Linked DNA regions of Macaca fascicularis. The protein of the gene in region 1 purifies or fractionates together with the protein of each later gene. This does not show direct contact. Links are inferred from orthologs where the notes say so. Each region holds a gene or a part of one and is shown on either strand. Other genes may lie near its edges.

What was found.
Region 2: the proteins of LITAF (region 1) and NEDD4 purify together in Homo sapiens (co-immunoprecipitation; 4 studies listed by BioGRID and IntAct, counting the BioPlex papers as one, with this or other methods). This does not show direct contact. The link is inferred for Macaca fascicularis from reciprocal best matches to the Homo sapiens genes LITAF and NEDD4.
Region 3: the proteins of LITAF (region 1) and NEDD4L purify together in Homo sapiens (affinity purification with western blotting; 3 studies listed by BioGRID and IntAct, counting the BioPlex papers as one, with this or other methods). This does not show direct contact. The link is inferred for Macaca fascicularis from reciprocal best matches to the Homo sapiens genes LITAF and NEDD4L.

What each region holds. Positions count from the first base shown.
Region 1 is NC_088394.1:12,238,549-12,242,196, forward strand, and holds part of LITAF (lipopolysaccharide-induced tumor necrosis factor-alpha factor), read right to left. Parts: intron 2,322-3,648; coding exon 2,165-2,321; intron 1-2,164.
Region 2 is NC_088381.1:32,304,268-32,307,915, forward strand, and holds part of NEDD4 (E3 ubiquitin-protein ligase NEDD4), read right to left. Parts: intron 2,505-3,648; coding exon 2,304-2,504; intron 648-2,303; coding exon 567-647; intron 7-566; coding exon 1-6. UniProt on the Homo sapiens protein: E3 ubiquitin-protein ligase which accepts ubiquitin from an E2 ubiquitin-conjugating enzyme in the form of a thioester and then directly transfers the ubiquitin to targeted substrates. Specifically ubiquitinates 'Lys-63' in target proteins.
Region 3 is NC_088392.1:22,722,483-22,726,808, forward strand, and holds the start of NEDD4L (E3 ubiquitin-protein ligase NEDD4-like), read right to left. Parts: upstream 2,811-4,326; 5' UTR 2,686-2,810; coding exon 1,534-2,685; intron 1-1,533. UniProt on the Homo sapiens protein: E3 ubiquitin-protein ligase that mediates the polyubiquitination of lysine and cysteine residues on target proteins and is thereby implicated in the regulation of various signaling pathways including autophagy, innate immunity or DNA repair.

The DNA.
Region 1 (3,648 bases):
CCCCCGTCTATAGATGAGGAACCGAAGCACAGAGAGGTAAAGTCATTTGCCCATGGCCACACAGCTAGTGAGAGGCAGGATTTGAACCCACTCTACCATGTTTAAGGAAGGAACAAAGGGAGGGAAACAAAGGCTGCCTCAATTTGTAAAGCCAGATTGGCAGAGGCCAATACTCAGTGTAAGTTTCTATTCCTCTATAATTCCAGCACTTTGGGAGGTCAAGGCGGGAGGATTGCTTGGGTCCAGGAGTTTAAGACCAGCCTGGGCAGCATAGTAAAACACCCGCTTCCACACACACACACACACAAAAAATTTTTAACTAGCTGGGTATGGTGGCACACACCTGTGGTCCCAGATACTCAGGAGGCTGAAGTGGGAGGATTGCATGAGCCCAGGAGGTCAAAGCTGCAGAGAGCTACGATCGTACCACTGCACTCCTGCCTGGGCAACACAGCAAGACTCAGTCTCACACAAAACAAAACAAGGAAGTTTCTATTCTGTCCTTTCCCTGATTTCAAAGATAAAAATTTGTTTTAATACAAATATCCAGAGGCAATGGACTCTTTTTTTTTTTTTTTTTTTTTTTTTTTTAGCATTTTCTGCCCATGGAATGAAAACAACAGCAGAGTCCTGTGGGCAAGAGGGGGAATCAGGTGCCCAGAAAGCTGTTTTGTCTCCTTCCTTCCTTATTTAACACATGACCTCGAGGAAGTTAACTACACTCTCCGGGACTCTGAGCCTCTTACTGAAGTTAGGAAGAGAAATATTGTTCCTTTTCAACCTCAAGTCACCAAAGGACAATGTGGAGGAATGTGTTGGTTGCATGAGGCTCCTGAAAGTCACAAACATCGGTTCCTTCAAGGAAAAGAATGGAGCCCCTTGGGGTTTTCTGAGTGGCTCACGTGGCCAGGAATAAGGAAGCTACTTTTACCTGCTTGGTGGGAAACAAAAAATTGATTGTGTTTCCTCAGATTTTTCTCCCAGAACAGAAACTATTATCTCTTTAAACATAATACCCTGGGTGCAGACATAAATATTTACATAATTCCCGCGCATGGGCAACGGGAAAAATACTTTGGGTCATAAAAGGATAAGAAGTTTTGAAGCGATTCCTATGAAGAATTTTAATGCACAGATTGTTTAAAGCTTCCCTCGGGCTCCAGCAAACATTATTATTTAGGTCATGAAATTCTAGAAGAAAAGGAACCCCTGAGGGTATTGCCCTACACACAGCTGGAAGCAGCTGTGAAGCTTGTCCCCACGCGCAGATAAGCAAGAAGAAAAGACGGAAGACCAATTTCTGGGGACTGATAGAGCAGTAGGGATGACTTGGCCTCCCAGGGGGTATTTTTGGTCAGAAGTGGGGAGCGTAGTGCTCCTGGCATCAAGCGAGTGGGGGCCAAGGATGCTATTCAATATCCTACAATGCACAGGACACCCCCTACAATCAAGAAATGTCTTGGGCCAGGCATGGTGACCCATGCCTGTAATCCCAGCACTTTGGCAGGCTGAGGCGGGCAGATCACCTGAGGTCAGGAGTTCGAGACCAGCCTGGCCAACATGGTGAGACCCTATCTCTACTAAAAATACAAAATATTAGCCGGGCGTGGCGGTGCACACTTGTAATCCCAGCTACTAGGGAGGCTGAGGCAGGACAATCGCTTGAACCCGGGGAGCAGAGGTTACAGTGAGCCGGGATCACGCCACTGCACTCCAGCCTGGGCAACAGAGTGAGAATCCGTCACAAAAAAAGAAAGAACTGTGTTAGGCCAGGCACAGTGGCTCACACCTGTAATCCCAGCACTTTGGGAGGCCGAGGCGTGCAGATCACCTAAGGTCAGGAGTTTGAGGCCAGCCTGGCCAAGATGGTGAAACCCCGACTCTATTAAAAATAAGCTGGGCGTGGTTGTGTACCCCTATAATCCCAGCTACGCAGGAGGCTGAGGCAGGAGAATCGTTTGAACCTGAGCAGTGGGGGTTGCAGAGAGCCGAGACTGCCCCACTGTACTCCAGCCTGGGTGACAGAGTGAGACTCCATCTCAAAAGAAACCAACACAAATGTCTGGCCTGAATGCCAAGCATGGTGCGGTTGAGAACCCACCCCGCCGCCAGCACCCGGAGAGAAGGGCAGGAGGGCTTGGGGCCAAGTGGGAGGCAGACTCACCCCAGCAGGCACAGGCTCCCGCAGGACAGCCAGGTCAGGGCACCGGCATTATAGGACAGCTGACTCACGATCATCTTGTTGCAGGAGGGACAACACATTTGAACAGGGCGGTCCAGAAAGGAGATGGGGTGCTGCACATAGACCGTCTGCACGGTAACTGATGAAAGGGAGAGGGACAAACACAGGCTGCTCAGGAAACAAGGCCACTAGCATTCACAACAGGACAAAGAGAGGAACGCAGGGATGCCAGCAAATACTATAATTGTACATCCGTGTTCATAGCATGCGTTCGTCATTTGGCTACCTATGAGAGCCAAAAGGGGAAGGAACACAAGTGTCCATTGATGGACCAATGAATTAACACAGCGAGGTTTCTCCATCCACCAGAATATGATTCAGCCTCAAAAAACAGGAGGACCGGGCGCAGTGGCTCATGTCTATAATCCCAACACTTTGGGAGGCCGAGGTGGGAGGATTGCTTGAGCCTAGGAGTTCGAGATCAGCCTAGGCAACATGACAAGACCTCATCTCTACAAAAAACTATAAAAATTAGCCCGGCGTGGTGGTGCATGCCTGTAGTCCCAGCTACTCAGGAGGCTGAGGTGAGTCAAGGGGATCACTTGAGTCTGAGACATTGAGGCTGCAGTCAATCATGACTGCGCCACTGCACTCCAGTCTGGGCAACAAAGTGAGATTCAGTCTCAAAAATAAATAAATAAATCTTAACCAGCCTCACACTGTGCCTAGCAGCCCTCGATAAACAATCCACTCTTTTTACACAGACCCTTTGATAAACTCTGACACCCAATGATAAGGGTAGAGTTTACCAAGCCAGGAAATGCAGGTCTACTCTATAAGACAATAAGCTCGTGAACTGTGTTGATACAAGAAATGAAAATATGAAATAATGCTCGGAAGAAAAAGCTATGTGAAACCATGTTTGAACATTCACAAGAATCAGAAGAGAATCCATTCCGGGTGCAGTGGCTCACACCTGTAATCCTAGCAAATCCCTTGGCTTTCGGAGGCCGAGGCAGGTGAATCACCAGAGGTCAGGAGACCAGCCTGGCCAACATGGTGAAACCCTGTTTCAAAAGACAAAAATTAGCCAGGCATGGTGGCACGCGCCTGTAGTCCCAGCTACTTGGGAGGCTGAGGCAGGAGAATCATTTGAACCCGGGAGACAGAGGTTGCAGTGAGCTGAGATCACGCCACTGCACTCCAGCTTGGGCAACAGAACAAACTCTATCTCAAAAAAAAAAAAGAGAATCCAGGGTGATGACAATCATTAAGCACTTCAGTTGTTAAGCTCATATTTTTGTCAAAGCAACTTCCTTCTGTTCCTTTTTACGTTGTTAGAATGCCATTTATGTAACAAATGGATTAGGAGAATATTACTACCTAGAGTTAACTGAACTTAGTAATACTCACAGATAAGACCCTCCTTCCAGAAAAGTAGTATTGAATCATACTTGAGCACTTAC
Region 2 (3,648 bases), on another chromosome or scaffold:
TCCTGGCTATAATGAAGAATGTATTTCAATTATGTTAGGATAGGGTTTTAGATGAATGGATAGAAAAACAGCACTGGTTGTATGGTTAACTTGCATATTCCATTCGATTCTTAGAAGGTATCGACCTTTTTAAATTTTTTATTTTATTTTTATTTTTTTGAGATGGAGTCTTGCTCTTTCACCCAGGCTGGAGCGCAGTGGCGCTATCTTGGCTCACTGCAAGCTCCGCCTCCCGGGTTTACGCCATTCTCCTGCCTCAGCCTCCCGAGTAGCTGGGACTACAGGCGCCCACCACCACGTCTGGCTAATTTTTTGTATTTTTAGTAGAGACGGGGTTTCACCGTGTTCGCCAACATGGCGTGTTGGCCAGGATGGTCTGGATCTCCTGACCTCGTGATCCACCCACCTCAGCCTCCCAAAGTGCTGGGATTACAGGCATGAGCCACCGCGCCCAGCCTACATTTTAATAATAATATTAATTATAGCTGATAAAGAACGACTATATCCAAAAATACAAAATATTTGAGATAGCCAAGTTAGATGGGTTAACATTTCTATACACTTACAGGTAAAGGCCCTAGATCACTGGAAGTATCAAGTGATGTCTTTCCTCTCAGATGGGCTGGAATTTTCAATCTTGGATCTTCCTTTTTTGGTAGAGTAAATAAAGAACAATACACACACACACATTTTAAAATAATGAAAGTCAGTCTGTTACCATGTTTTCTAGCATCAATGGATATTTAAAATATCCTCTTGTAAAAGTCAATTTATACTTTATTTCCTAAATATGTGACATAATATTTTCTCCTTCTAAAATCTATCACTCTCAGGCTATAAGATCAAAAGGAATAAGGAGCAGTTCTCAGGGATCACCACTAACTGGTAATCTCTTTTGCCCCACGCTTTAGGAAATGTGTCACATACGGCTTTTCTCTATGTAAAAACTGGTGAAAGAGTGGGACATTAAATTGGACCACATGATATTTCTTTCATTGATTTTTTTTGAGATGGAGTTTCACTCTTGTCACCCAGGCTGGAATGCAATGGCACCATCTCAGCTCACTGCAACCTCTGCCTCCCAGGTTCCAGGGATTCTCCTGCCTCAGTCTCCTGGGTAGCTGGGATTACAGGCATGCACTACCATGCCCGGCTAATTTTTGTATTTTTAGTAGAGATGGGGTTTCACCATGTTGGCCAGGCTAGTCTTGAACTCCTGACCTCAGATGGTCCACTCACCTTGGCCTCCCCAAGTGCTGAGATTACAGGCGTAAGCCACCGTGCCCGGCCCTGGACCACATGATATTTCTAAGCCCCAGAACATGCATTTTGCCAGCTATCTGTTCAAGGGTTGATTAATATTTTTGAATAACAGGAAGGTAAGCCCAAAAACGTTATCAAAGGCCAATTCAGAATGTTAAAAAAGAGAACAAAATTCAATTTATTTGGTTTAATTTACATATATTACCTTAATAGTATTAATTTATTAAATAATTTTAGTATTATTTAAGCTATGTTGGTCTTTTAATAATTAATCAAAATCTATTCATCAGCTGCTAATTTTAAGTAATTTTTCTTTTTATTTATTTATTTTTTTGAGATGGAGTCTCGCTCTGTTGCCCAGGCTGGAGTGCAGTGGCACGATCCCAGCTCACTGCAAGCTCCACCTCCTGGGTTCATGCCATTCTCCAGCCTCAGTCTCCCAAGCAGCTGGGACTACAGGTACCCACCACCATGCCTAATTTTTTTGTATTTTTAGTAGAAACAAGGTTTCACCATGTTAGCCAGGATGGTCTTGATCTCCTGACCCTGTGATCTGCCCCCCTCAGCCTCCCAAAGCACGTGAGTCACTGTACCCAGCCTTTAAGTAATTTTTCTGTTAGTAGTAAGCCAAGCACTAAACAACTTTAAGACTTATCTTGAAATAAAAATACTTGTTCTACCTAGCCTCACAAGGTTTTTCTGATATTAAATGAGATATGGATTCAAAAGTGCTTTAGAGCTATAAAGCCTCATATAAAAGCAAAGGGTTATTCCTATATATCTTCCTAAGCATTTGTGGCCAGTGAGCTAAAAACTGGAAATAGGAAGTAAACATGAATATCTCCGTAACCCAAAACAATATTAAAAAGAGGCATAAGCATTCTCTTGAATACATATAATATTATTAAGAATTCAATATATCTTTCAATGAATATTAGGAAACACAGGTTATAGAAATACACACTTAAAGATTGTAAGGAACTATACATAAGAGATGATTATTGTTGTTATACATTTAGATGGAAGAGTGTCAAAGTTACCCAGGTGGTGGTTTTAGTGTTGTGGTCAATAAAGAAAGGCCTCCCATTTGGCGCATGTCGGACTTCCCAGCCTTTAGGAAGGAATCCTTGCTCAATTTCAGATGGCTGGGTCACCTGCTGGCTTGAATCACTGGTGGAGGCTTGTGATTGAGGGCCCGCAGAACTCTGGCTTGATGTCAGCTGACTGGTCTCCACTGTGGCCTAGCACATTAATGAAATCATACTGTAATATTTTATAGAGAGAAAACTCACAAATAGATGCAGTTAAAAAGGTAACCTAACCTGCAAATAGAATACACACCCTCCATTAAAGAGATTCTACATATTTGAGGCTCATTTTCAAATGTAGTTATGGCATATTAATATTTTCCCAACATTTTAATAATGCATTACATTTAATAACATTTAATAACACTTTTCCAATACATTATTTTGTATAACTTTATTTTTACAGTAATTTATAATTTCTCAACTCATTCTCAAGCAGTAAGATGGTAGTTAACAGTCTGCTGTGGGTGCATCTGATTGAAGGAGCGAGGTCCACAAGCGCAAGTCCTAGCTGCAAGGGGAGCTCTGGTGCCTATGGGAGGAAGTCGTCTTTGTTTTCCCAAAACTCATAGGATGGGGAATTCCTCATACACAGATGTAGATTCAAATGTTGGGCAGACAAAATGAATGGCAAATATCTACCACAGAAATGGATAAGTGAAATGTAACATATTCATGACGGAATATTAGTAGTTAAGAGAAATACACTGGATCTATAAATAACAATATAGACAGAGCTTTAAAACAATGTTAAGCAAAAAAAGGTGTAGACTTATGGGGCAAAGTTTTTTTTAATTGAGCAGCACCTCATTCTGTAAAATAAAATGAGTGTTCTCTCATTGCAAAATTAGAAACACAGGCATATAAACAATATTTTACATTTTCTTTTCTTTTTTTTTTTTTTGGAGACGGAGTTTTGCTCTGTTGCCCAGGCTGGAGTACAGGGGCGCAATCTTGGCTCACTGCAAGCTCCACCTCCCAGGTTCGATCAATTCTCCGGCCTCAGCCTCCCAAGTAGCTGGGATTACAGGCATGTGCCACCATGCCCGGCTAATTTTATTTTACATTTTTAAAGCTCTTTATGTAAGTATATAAAAAAGGCTAAAAGAATACACAAGAAATTCAAGATGGTGGTTCCCCCTGGGGAATGGGACCAAGAGCTTGGCTAAAAGGAATTTAGCTTAATCTATAAGACTCTATTTTTAAAAATAAAATGTCTGGAAATTAATATGGTAACTTGTTAATGATGGTAATTCTGAGTGTAAAGAATATGTGCATTTGCTATATTATTCTCTGC
Region 3 (4,326 bases), on another chromosome or scaffold:
CAACTGTCATGATGGTAACTTGTTGGGGTGGGGGTTAAAGGCTACTATAATATCAAAACTCTGTCAAAATTTGTACCATTGTGTAATATATGGTATAGGTTCCGACCAAGGCAAAGCACTTAGCTGTTTCCCAACAGAAGAGTTTGAGATAATGAAAGAAAGGAGATACATGGAAAGAAAGAGATGAAGAAAAACAAATTTTCATTAAGCATCTGATTGTATCTTCAAAATGATGACAACCAATGATAGAGGAGTGACAAAGTTTACTTAAAAGACGAAACGTATTTCTGAACACAAAGCAATAAAAGACAATACAATTCTAGAGTAATACTCAGACACTCACTTTTCTAAATCACTATTCACAAGTGAAATCCAAACAAAAAGTCCCCTAGACATTTACTAATCGTATCCTCAAATTGGCAGTCACATGAAATTCAGGAGAAAAAAATATCCAATTCAAAATATAAGGAGCTTGTTCTTTAAGAGAAAGCACTCACTGGCTAGTGGTTACTACTAAAAGAAACCGAACTGATTAAACTTTTCATCCCACTCTACGAAAGCTGCAGAGTCATCATATGCCTGGTCGGATGGAGTGTGCAGCTGTCTCCCTGTACTCCATTTCACTGAAAGGGAGCGATCAGGAACAGAGAAACAGGAAGGCCAGAATCTGTTCTAAGGCGTCTATTTCCACAGCTGGAGACAGGGTACTTACTATTCTATATACAGCATCCCCGGCTTGGACACTCAAGTGGACAGTGTTAAATTGCACGGCATGCCATCTGACCATTAATGAGTCCCCGTCAGTTTCCCCTAGCCTTGGGCCATAACCCAGTTGTTTTAAAAACACATCTCTTAGTATCTCAGTAGTGTCACTTGTGGGACAGTAATGTCGCTATGCCACAAGTGACACTACTCTCGTTCAGTATTACTTAATGGGACAAAAAAATAAAAAACAACAAAAAAACCCAAAGCGAATTATATAACAACGACTGACCTGACCCCCTCAGCAAAAAGGCCATGACAAATAATCATATTTCACCAAACTTTACATTCACCTTCTTTAACTATTAAGAGACGAAACTCAGGTCCTTTGCAATATCCTCACCTTTCCGAGAACTGATTGTTTTTAAAGTATTGTCGCAGGTTATATTTGCAAGCAGCTTTTTAAATGCATTTCCACCATCAACATGTTGGGGCACTGACTTGGTTTTTGGCAGATTAAAGTAATAAATTTTATTCAAAATTCTTCTATTCAGAAAAATAAAAGCAGGGGGAAGGTATTCTGCTTGGATTTCCCAAACAGACAAAGTTGGTTGACTTTGAGGACCTACAGAAGACATTTGCAGAAATGGTGTTTTGCGCACCAAACTCTGGACCACAAATCATCGTGCCAGAACTCGGCCAAACATTCAGATCCGCTGGCCTGAAGCAGGGAAACTCCCGGGACAGAGGGTGAGGTTTATTTTGGTTACGCCGCAGAGTAAGCATCGAAGTTGAAATCAGTAAACACATGTAAACAAGCCGTGAACTTACCGTGGCGTCAGCTCCCGTGGAAACAGGGCTTTTGGCGCTTTTCTCCTCGGGATTCTGGGGAGCTTCTTCCGGCCCCCGGGTTACAAGAATTCTAAAATGCTGCTGCCCCGCGTTCTGATCCTGCCTGATCTTAAATGTGCACCCCTGGCCCTGCGGAGTCCTCTCTGCGGAGTTCGTCCTGCGGATTTCGGGAGCCATCCTGCCAGCCCGAGGCGGTGCCTCCGGGGCTCCCCGATCTTCCGTGGGGCTCCCTCTTTCGCTTCGGGGCTGCGTGGGGTACGAGGTGCTCCTCTCCAGCCGAATGCGGGGATACCTCACCAACCTGTCCCCCTTTGTGCCCGTGAAGCCAAAGTTGAGGTCACTGCCTGACCCCAGAGCGCCTTGCTGGGGCTGCTGCAACTGGAAGACAAAACACCGCTTCCCGGAGCTTCCAGAAGCATCTGGAACGTGCTGCAGGGACCAGCGCCTGGGCTCTGCCGCCGCTGGGCCGCCCTGGCCATCCGGGCCGAGGGGCAGCAGCCTCACCTGGCGCACGTCGGCGCTGGAGGCGCGGTGCTGGATGCGCAGGCCCGGGGCAGCCTCCTCGGGGCAGTCCACCGGGCCAGGGCACCGCACGCGGCGGCGGCCGCCGCACGTGCCGTTGACCTGGAGCCCCGGGTCCCGGGCTGCCCTCGGAGGGGAGTTCCCGGGGGTGTCCCTCGGCGAGGGCTCCCGGGAACCGCTCTGGGGCGAGGCCCTCGTGGTGGCGGTGGCGGTGGCGGTGGCGGAGGCCTGGTCCCCGGGGTCCGGCGTGGTGCACGGAGGCCCATCGTCGGCGCCCTCGGGCGGCCCGCACCCATCCGTGGCCCCGTCCGCGGCCTTGCGCTGCAGGGAGATCTGCACCGAGGAGCTGCACGTGGGGCGGGCGTCGATGCTGGTCAGGAGCTGCGGGATGAACATGGACGAGCTCCGCTTGAGCGCGCCCACGCCTCCCTGCAGGCCTCCGTCGCCATCCTCCCCTACGTTCTGGGCGAAGGGGTGCGGGCTGTTCCTCCGTGGTAGGGTGTGGAATGCCATGAAGAAGTCGTCTTCTCTCTCCTGGTCTAGGATCTCTGATTCGGGGGCTGTGTTGCTGCGACCAGAGCCAAAATGAAACCGAAGCCGATGGGCCATGGTGACCAGGGGGGCCAGGAGGGCGAGGGCGAGCGGCAACAACAGGCCCGGCACTGCCAGAAGTCACAAACCAAAGACACAAACTCCAAGAAAAAGTGTCCCATCTGCCAAACTGTTAGCACTGCGGCACCAGGAGCGACAGATAGCAGAAATAACCCAAGTGGCAAGCGGCATTCCAGGCATGATTGGATAAGAGCAAAAAGCTCTCATCCACACTGTGACAGAGGGTAGGGTGGCCAGAACCACATGACCGCGCTCTCCCCCTCCAATGCCAGCTTCTGGACTTAGAGGAGTTTTCCCCCACTCGCTTTTTTTTTAAACGGCAAGAGCCTGAAACAGCACCTTCCCAGCTGCTGCTTTTCCATCAGAAAGGAGTGGCCCCAGCAGGGCGCTCTCACAGCTGACTAAGGCAGCAAACACACTGCAAGCCACGCTGCTATAAATCTAAACCACATCACATTCACAGGGCATTTCTTTCCCAATGGAGCACAGCGCTGGGACTCTGTCTAACCTGTGCAGGGACCTGGCATGTTTAACAGCACACACGGTATTTCCCCACCTCCCACCACACATGGAATAACGACAAGTAAAATATGGCTTGGCCACCGGGTAAACCCCTTCCCAAGCATTGGATACCATGTTTCTGTTATTTATGACATCACTACACTACCAGGATGGAATGCAAACTAATAAAACAGTACTATAAATACGATTACACACCCCACAGAGTTAGTGTCCGTTTAATGCTAAATAATTAGACCAGGATCTACAAGTAACAAAATAGCTAAAGGGAGGGGAGGGAGCGCGACGTGCTACACACCCAGTTGGCCTCCTGCTATCACAGCATTTTTCATTTAAAAGGTGTATACGTGTGTGTAGCTCACACATGACTGGCAGACACCAAAGTACCAGAGAAAAGGAACCCAGCTGGAGAAAACATTGTCTCCCATATGCCAGGTAGGAAAGAAAACGTCAACGAAAAAACAAACAATAACAACAAAAAACAAAAGGAAAATTGAAGAAGGGAGTGCATGTGGATTTTTTTTGTGTGTGGTAATAATTTAACTTAAATACCATGCAGAAGAAATGCTGCCTAGAGCTGACTGCTCTCCAGTACGAAGTCAGCAATATTACCACAGTTGGGACACAAATATGGAATCTTGCCATGTTTGCAAAGGACCAAAAAAGACTTAAGAAATGGAAGGAAAGGTGCACAGTCGAAAAACTGTCCTCAGATTTGTAGTTAGCTTGGAAATATGCTGTATTTTAAACTCACTATTTTCTATGATCCAGAAACACCAATTAGTTAACAAAGAGGTTTATTTAGAGGGGGTGAAAAAATAGGAGGGGAAAATACCAAGCTGCAAGAGTGACAAAAAGTTTATTTTAAAATCTGCAAAGCATGACTTTGTCAATAGCCCTAGCATCCAGGGTGTGGTGGATTAACCCTGTGTTTACATACATCCAAATCTGTTTTCTAAAAGCATGTGTTTTAAATGCCAAAAATGACCTCTAGAGAGAAATGGAAGCTAGTCTGTGTAATGCTAGAACTTCCAAGTACTACCATAGCCACATATTGTCTCCGCTGGGTTAATAGCCAACAAAGAAAAACAAAACAGCAACACCAGCATTCTTTGCATA